Oryctolagus cuniculus: one gene and its partner. The protein of the gene in region 1 purifies or fractionates together with the protein of each later gene. This does not show direct contact. Links are inferred from orthologs where the notes say so. Each region holds a gene or a part of one and is shown on either strand. Other genes may lie near its edges.

Region 1 (3,425 bases):
CACTTGGGCCATCCTCCACTGCACTCCCGGGCCACAGCAGAGAGCTGGCCTGGAAGAGGAGCAACCGGGACAGAATCTGGTGCCCCGACCAAGACTAGAACCCGGTGTGCCGGTGCCGCAAGGCGGAGGATTAGCCTAGTGAGCCGCGGCGCCGGCCTGTATTTTTTTTTTAATACACCGTATCAACTAAGTGTACCTGAGGATGCAGAGACAATGGAACCCTTGGGGCCGTCGCTATGGCGTATTGGGTAAAGCCGCAGCCTGCAGTGCCAGCATCCCTTATGGGCACGGGTTCGAGTCCCAGCTGCTCCACTTCTAATCCAGCTCTCTGCTATGGCCTGGGAAAGCAGTAGAAGATGACCCAAGTGCTTGGGCCCCTGTATGTGGGAGAGCCAGAAGAAGCTCCTGGCTCCTGGCTTTGGTTTGGCCCAGCTCCATCCATTGCAGCCATATAGAGAGTGAACCAGCAGATGCTTCACCCACCCCCACCTTTGTAACAGCCTTTCAAATAAGTAAATAAATCTTTTTTTTTAAGTGGGACCCTCAAACATTGCTTGAGGATATGTAAAATATTGCAGCTGGTTGTAGGAAACAGCTGTCTTTTTTTAAAGTGTTAGGAACCAGCTATTCTAGCATGTACAAGGACTCCTAGGGACGAGTATATCCTCAAGAAAAAGAAAATACGGTGTGCTCGTTCCTACGCAGAGATTCTCGAGTTTATACTGCACCGCAACGCCACCCAAAGAGACCAGCACGGCGTTGGCAAATTCAGCCGCTTACTCTACAGACCGCCGTTTAGTCTACATGGTGCTTGCCACACTGCCCCCAAGTGCTCACTGTCGCAAAAGACCCGTCCCTATACTTTTCGTTTCCCTTCTGCCGTCAACCGCGGTGCAGCTTCCCTCCCAGAAGGCCTCAAGAGCGCGACGAAAGAGAGTGACAGAGCGCTTTACGACAGTTGCTTTGTGGCAGCACCGGAGGAGGAAGATGGCGGCCACCTTAGTAGCCGCTCGGGGAGCGGGTCCGGCACCGGCTTGGGGGCAAGATGCCCTAGCCCCGGACTGGGAAAACCGGGAAGTCTCCACAGGGGTGAGGCAGGGGTCGGGGTTCAGGAGAGCTGAGGAAGGCGGAGGGGAGGCGGACTGTTGTGCTTGCGGGCAGCGGGAGGATGTATCCGGAGGGTGCTAGAGCGGTGTGGTGCGTTCGTGGTGGGGTTCTGGCATCTCGCGGGCCGAATGAAGCTCTAGGGGTCAAGGCCGGGATGGGTCTTTGGAGTTGGAGGGTTAGAATTCTGGTAGTCCTCGGGGGGTTGAGGCGCCCGTGAGATTTGGAAATGGGTCGATGGCGCCCGAGGGTCGTATTCCGGGAGCTGGCCTGAGCCGACCATTGAAGCTTGTGTATGGTGGAAAACGTGGGAAGACCCCGACTCACTCCTTCTTCCCTTTCCCCAGACCACAATTATGGCCGTGCAGTTCGACGGGGGCGTGGTCCTGGGGGCCGACTCGAGAACAACCACGGGGTGAGCGCGGGACAGATTGGTGAAGGGGCCCTCCTCCCCCGCGCCTGCCCCGATGCCAGCCCACCCTTAGCCTCGACAGACTTCTGTGGGCAGGGACTTCTCCTCTCCCTGCAGATAAGCAATCCCCCCACCCTTGGTGAGATCTTTATAGAAATCTGTTCTCCAACTGATTTAGGTTTGGATGAGAACTGATAGGCAATACTGGGTTTCCTGTCCTTGAGCCCTGAGTAACGGGTTGGGGTGGGAGGAAGGCAGGTGGGGTCTTTGCCCTCACTGTCTGTCTTCCCGCAGGTCCTACATCGCCAATCGAGTGACTGACAAGCTGACTCCCATCCATGACCACATTTTCTGCTGCCGCTCGGGCTCAGCAGCCGATACCCAGGCAGTCGCTGATGCTGTCACCTATCAGCTTGGTTTCCACAGGTGCTTATGGGCAGGGGAGGAGCTGGGATCTGGAAGGAGTTGGAGCCAAAGACTCTAAATGGACTGATTCCTAGGTTCTGACCCTGCTTTCTCTGTGACCCTCCCCCCCCCCCCCCCCCCCGCCAGCATTGAACTGAATGAGCCCCCCCTGGTGCACACAGCAGCCAGCCTCTTCAAGGAGATGTGTTACCGGTACCGGGAAGACCTGATGGCAGGGATCATCATCGCCGGCTGGGACCCTCAAGAAGGCGGGCAGGTCAGAGCCCCGGCTTGTCCCCCTCTGGCCATTCCCCATCTGTCTCCAGCTCCTACCTCACTTCTGCGGTTAACTCTGCCCCGCCCAGGCCCACGTGGACGGGTAAGTGGACGTGTGCTGGGGGGGGAGCATACAGCCGGTGACTGTCTTCGTCCATCTGGCAGGTGTACTCAGTCCCCATGGGGGGCATGATGGTGAGGCAGTCCTTTGCCATCGGAGGCTCTGGGAGTTCGTACATCTACGGCTACGTGGACGCCACCTACCGGGAAGGCATGACCAAGGAAGAGTGTCTGCAGTTCACCGCCAATGGTGAGTGCTTGGCCTGCAGGGCCTGTGAGCTGCAGCCCCTCCCCAAGCCAGGCCAGCGCCCCTCATTCCTCGTCGTGGCCCCAGGATCTCACTCTGAACTCAGCCTTCTCTTTTATCCTCAGCTCTCGCTTTGGCCATGGAGCGGGACGGCTCCAGTGGTGGGGTGATCCGTCTGGCAGCCATCGCTGAATCAGGGGTGGAGCGCCAAGTGCTTCTGGGAGACCAGATACCCAAATTCACCATTGCCACTTTACCACCCCCCTGAACCCTGGAATTCTAGGATGTAGTAAGAGACGCCATACAGACAGGAAGTTTAATAAACACTTTGTCAAAGAGAGTCTTTGTGCTTTGCTTTGGGATTCTTTTGTTGACCTCAAGCCTAAACTTGTCTGACTCACTGCTGTTTGTATAAACTCCTGCACTGAGCTGCAGGGGAGTTGGAGAGGAGATGGGGGGTGTTCATGAATGTTCTTCAAACCTACTTCTCCACACTTAACCTTCTACCATACCCAGGTCCCTGACCACCAGGTTGTGGTGCCTGCCACACCCTCTCCCTGTTTTAAGCTTTAGGTGGAATTCAGAATTCTGAGGCTGGAGTCACCTTCCCGCCGCCTGCCGCCTGCCAGCCAGCATGGGTGACCACTGACGGTAAAGCCAGAGGGATTTGCTTCTACCCCGGCCTCCCCTTAGTCGACTGAGCCTCTGTCACCTCATTTTGTGGTCAGGAGCAGCCGGGTGGCTTCCTTGGCTTGGGGGAGAGAAGTGGGTCTTGTCTGTAGACGGAACTCCAGGTGGACGTTGGAGGGGGTGACAGTCACTGGCAGCACCTCCGGCCAGCTCTAGAAGCCACCATCCCTTGGGCCACTGAGCCCTCTGCAGCTGTCCCTGACTAAAACCAGGGCCCTAAAAGAGGTCATG
Region 2 (3,741 bases), on another chromosome or scaffold:
AGAAATACCTGTGGGAATTAGAAGTGTGCGTGGAGTGGGACAAGACGGAGGGCACTCATAGGCCCATGTCCCAAAGCAGAGGGTTTGGGTGTGGGCGGGCGGCCACTCACTTGGATATCTGCGTGTGGAAGCCTTCCAGCTTGGTGTGAAGGCTGGTCATCAGCTCAAACACCTTCTCCTGGGGACGGCAAGTGAGGGCCAAAGTGGAAGGAAGCCGGGACTAGAGATGAGGGCAGGGCAGCAGGGCAGTGCTCTCACCTGGACAGCCACTCCGAAATTGTTGCCGTCCTCAATCCGGGGAATCTGCAGCTGCAACCAGGTGGTGACCTGGGGGAAGGGAAGCGCATCAAAGCCACATCCGGCCCCCCACCCCCACCTGGCCTCCTTGGCCTTGCTTGCTGCCCATGCTGGGTGGAGGTAGGCCAGGTCTATCCTAAGCCTCATGGGCCTAGGCTGCTGACTTCACCGGCTGTGCCCTCCCTTTCCTGCTAAGACCAGGCAAGCGGCATAACCTAACTGGCAGAACCAAGAGGACAAAGGGGTCGACCTGAAGCCAGGGGCGGAAGGAGCAGGGCTCACCAGATTCAGCTTCTCGATGACGTCCTTTATCTCGGGCTTTAGGCGCTGCAGAAGGCCTACAATCTTCTCATTGCAGTTCACTGGGCCACAGGGAGGACCTGGTGAGTGGGCGGTGGGTTACTCACTGCACTGAGCCTGTGCCTGACAGGAGAGCCCCTGCAGGGTGGTGGCCAAGTCCCTGCCCACCAGAGATTTCTTTTTTGTTCAAATACCTTTATCTTCATCATCCTCTTTCTTTTTTTCGTCTTTGTCTTCCTTCTGCAGGGAGAGAGGGGTCCCTGGGAGTCAGACCGCAGGAAGGCAGGTTTTCCCTGCCTGGTTGGGCCCCTCCCCCCCCCCCCGGGGGGGGTTCCCAGCTTGCCCCCTGCTGTTTCTTTCGCTCCTCCTTCTCTTTCTCCTTGGCCGGGTCAGGCATGGGGATGTCCAGGGGGGCCTTCAGGTTGCTCAGGTTGACTTCATTGAGAGCCGGCTCCTGGCAGAGGGTAGGAGGAGAGCTAGAGGCAAGGTGTGTGTGTCTCTCTCGCCTCCTCACTCTCAGGGCCTCGCCCTGACTCCCGTCCTCTGGGCCCCTTAACTCTCCAGCTCCCTGGCCAGCCCCAGTACCTTTAAAAACGCATCCAACTCAGAAATCTTCTTGGGGAAATAGTTCCCAAGCAGGCTCTCGGTCTGTGTGTGAGGTGGGGGTGGCGGAGGGTGGGGGTGAGACTCCGAGTGGTCCCGGTTGGGTCGGAGCTGGGGTGTGGCGGGACGGATCTTACCTTGGCACGCAGGTCTTCACGAAACGCATCCACCTGTGGGGCACAGGCAACCGTTCAGAAACCTGGCTTTAAGGCCGGTTTATTGGAAGGGAGTTCCTCTAGGGTTGTGGCAGGTCTGACCTGGGGAAGGGTGGGGTGTGCTCTCTGAGGCCAGATGGACCCCTGTGCCCGTGGACTGGGACTAAAGGGGTGGACCTCTGCAGTCCCGGGCCCCCTGGGGTTGCATCTGGGGATTGAGAGCACTCCTGGTGGGAAGGGTCTCCAGGGTCTCCTGGGCTATGCTGTGCATGTGAGGAGGGGAGTAGGGCAGCCTCAGCCAGTGGGACCCAGCAGGCACTGAGAAGCCAGGGGCAGGTCCCGCACCAGCCTGTGCCCCCCGCTCCGCGCACGCACTGAGGAGCCAGGGGCAGGTCCCGCACCAGTCTGTGCCGCCCCCCCCCAAGCCCCGCGCAGGCACTGAGGAGCCAGGGGCAGGTCCTGCACCAGTCTGTGTGGGGCCCCCGCCGGCAGGCTTCCCCTCTCCGGCTCTCTGCTTCACTTCACCTCGCTGGACCAAGGCCGCCTCGCCTCTCCCCGAAGGCAGACCTCACCGGTCTCCCCGGGGCTCAGGTGCTGGGAGCACCGAGGCGGCAGGCATGACCGACCCCTACTCAAGTGGGGGCTGGGGGAGGGGGCGGGTCGGGGGCTCCCTCGCCTCTAGGAACCACGTCTCCCTCTAATCGGCCCTTCCTCGACCCCGAGGCGCTCACCTTGGCTTGGGCTTCAGGCTGGACCCTGAGCGTGGCCATGGCAGGGCCGGGGGGGACCTGCTGCCGCACGAGGAGCGAGGAGGAGTGGGCACCGGGAAGAGAAAGCGAAAGCGGCGCTCGCCACCGGCACGGCCTTCCTGGGTAGTAGGGAGTGGAGGGACTGGAGGAGGCGGGGACAGACCAGACCGGGGAGACGGCCGCAGAGGCGGGCAGCCCCGCGGGGCTCCCCCTACAGCTCCCTGTGCCCGCCTGTCCACGCCCCACCTTGCCCCTCCCGCCCCCCTTGTCCCCGCCTCTCCCCCCCACCCCCAACTCCTCCATTGGCCTCTCTTCCGCTGCTGCGCCTGGCACAGGGATGCGCCTTACTCCGTGGGACGAGACCTGGCTGGCCGCTCCTTGCTAGCCTTCCCAGCCAGCGTGGGCACCTGCTCTCGCCGGCATCCTGTGGCCCGACACCCGGACGCTGCTGCTACCCTTCACCCGAGCTGCAGTCCGCTAGGCTTGGCTGCTGCTGCGCGTTCGCCTCTGACCGCCGCAGCTTCCTGTAGACCTCCCACCTGCTCCTCTCCAGTCACCTGCCTTCCTGCCCCCTGGCCATTCCTCCTGAAGGGCCCTTCCCACGGCTCTGGTCATTCAGCTCTCAGTTCAAATGTCACCTCCTCAGAATTAAGATTTAAAAAAAAAATGTATTTATTATATTAGAAAGGCAGAGTAACAAAAAAATGAGAGAGAGAATCTTCTGTCCCCAAATGCCCACAACGGCTGGGGGTGGGCCAAGAGGAAGCCAGGAGCCAGGAGCTTCTTCCGAGTCTCCTACGTGGGTGCAGGGGCCCAAGCACTTGGGCCATCTTCTACTGCTTTCCCAGGTGCATTAGCAGGGAGCGGGATCAGAAGTGGAGCAACCGGGACTCAAACCAGCATCCCTGTGGGATGCCAGCATCACAGACCGCAGCCTAACCGGCTGTGCCACCTCCAGGTGGCCAAATCAGCCTGCTTGAGTACCTTCACAGCATTTCTCTCTCTGATATTAGCTCAGTGTTTTGTTTCAGGATTCCACAAGCTTTTTCTGCCAAGGGTTAGATAATATATATTTTAGGCTCTGTGGGCCTTACAGTGTTGGTAACAACTACTCAACTGTGCCATGGCAACAAGAAAGCAGTCATATGTCCATGAATTAGTGCGGCTGGTTCCCGTGAAGCTTATTTATGGACACAGAAACTTGAGTCCATGTAATTTTCGTGTGTCATGAAATATGATGGTGCTTCAAAAGGTTTGTGGGAAGATGGAATAAAAAAATGTTTCTTTTGGTGCAGAAACCTTTGAAATCCATTAAAGTTTTTCACAGTGTGCTGATTCCCCGTGACGTTTTTGATAACCCCTGTCTGTGTAGATTAAAAAAAGTTGCACCAAAGTAAATATATTTTAATTCCATTTTCCTATGAACCCTTTGAACTACCCTCATACCATATTGTATTATTCTTTGATGTTTTCAGCATAAAAATGGAAAAACCGTTCTTAGCTCACAGGCCATACAAAAACTGGCCACAGGAGGGCAGTGTTTTGCCCATTCCTGGTTTAGACCTAGAGCACCCAGACTGCCTCGGTTTGTAACCCTGCCTCCTCTATGTGGTGTTAGCTTTGAACAGATTAACCTG

Evidence for each region.
Region 2: the proteins of PSMB6 (region 1) and PSME1 purify together in Homo sapiens (affinity purification with western blotting; 3 studies listed by BioGRID and IntAct, with this or other methods). This does not show direct contact. The link is inferred for Oryctolagus cuniculus from reciprocal best matches to the Homo sapiens genes PSMB6 and PSME1.

What each region holds. Positions count from the first base shown.
Region 1 is NC_091448.1:51,426,609-51,430,033, reverse strand, and holds PSMB6 (proteasome subunit beta type-6), read left to right. Parts: upstream 1-872; 5' UTR 873-987; coding exon 988-1,089; intron 1,090-1,451; coding exon 1,452-1,519; intron 1,520-1,810; coding exon 1,811-1,942; intron 1,943-2,068; coding exon 2,069-2,198; intron 2,199-2,362; coding exon 2,363-2,507; intron 2,508-2,629; coding exon 2,630-2,772; 3' UTR 2,773-2,844; downstream 2,845-3,425. UniProt on the Homo sapiens protein: Component of the 20S core proteasome complex involved in the proteolytic degradation of most intracellular proteins. This complex plays numerous essential roles within the cell by associating with different regulatory particles.
Region 2 is NC_091443.1:51,061,312-51,065,052, forward strand, and holds the start of PSME1 (proteasome activator complex subunit 1), read right to left. Parts: upstream 2,576-3,741; 5' UTR 2,528-2,575; coding exon 2,512-2,527; exon of another isoform or gene 2,453-2,511; intron 2,348-2,452; exon of another isoform or gene 2,224-2,347; coding exon 2,087-2,223; intron 1,371-2,086; coding exon 1,338-1,370; intron 1,246-1,337; coding exon 1,183-1,245; intron 1,052-1,182; coding exon 941-1,051; intron 838-940; coding exon 792-837; intron 678-791; coding exon 580-677; intron 328-579; coding exon 259-327; intron 179-258; coding exon 111-178; intron 9-110; coding exon 1-8. UniProt on the Homo sapiens protein: Implicated in immunoproteasome assembly and required for efficient antigen processing. The PA28 activator complex enhances the generation of class I binding peptides by altering the cleavage pattern of the proteasome.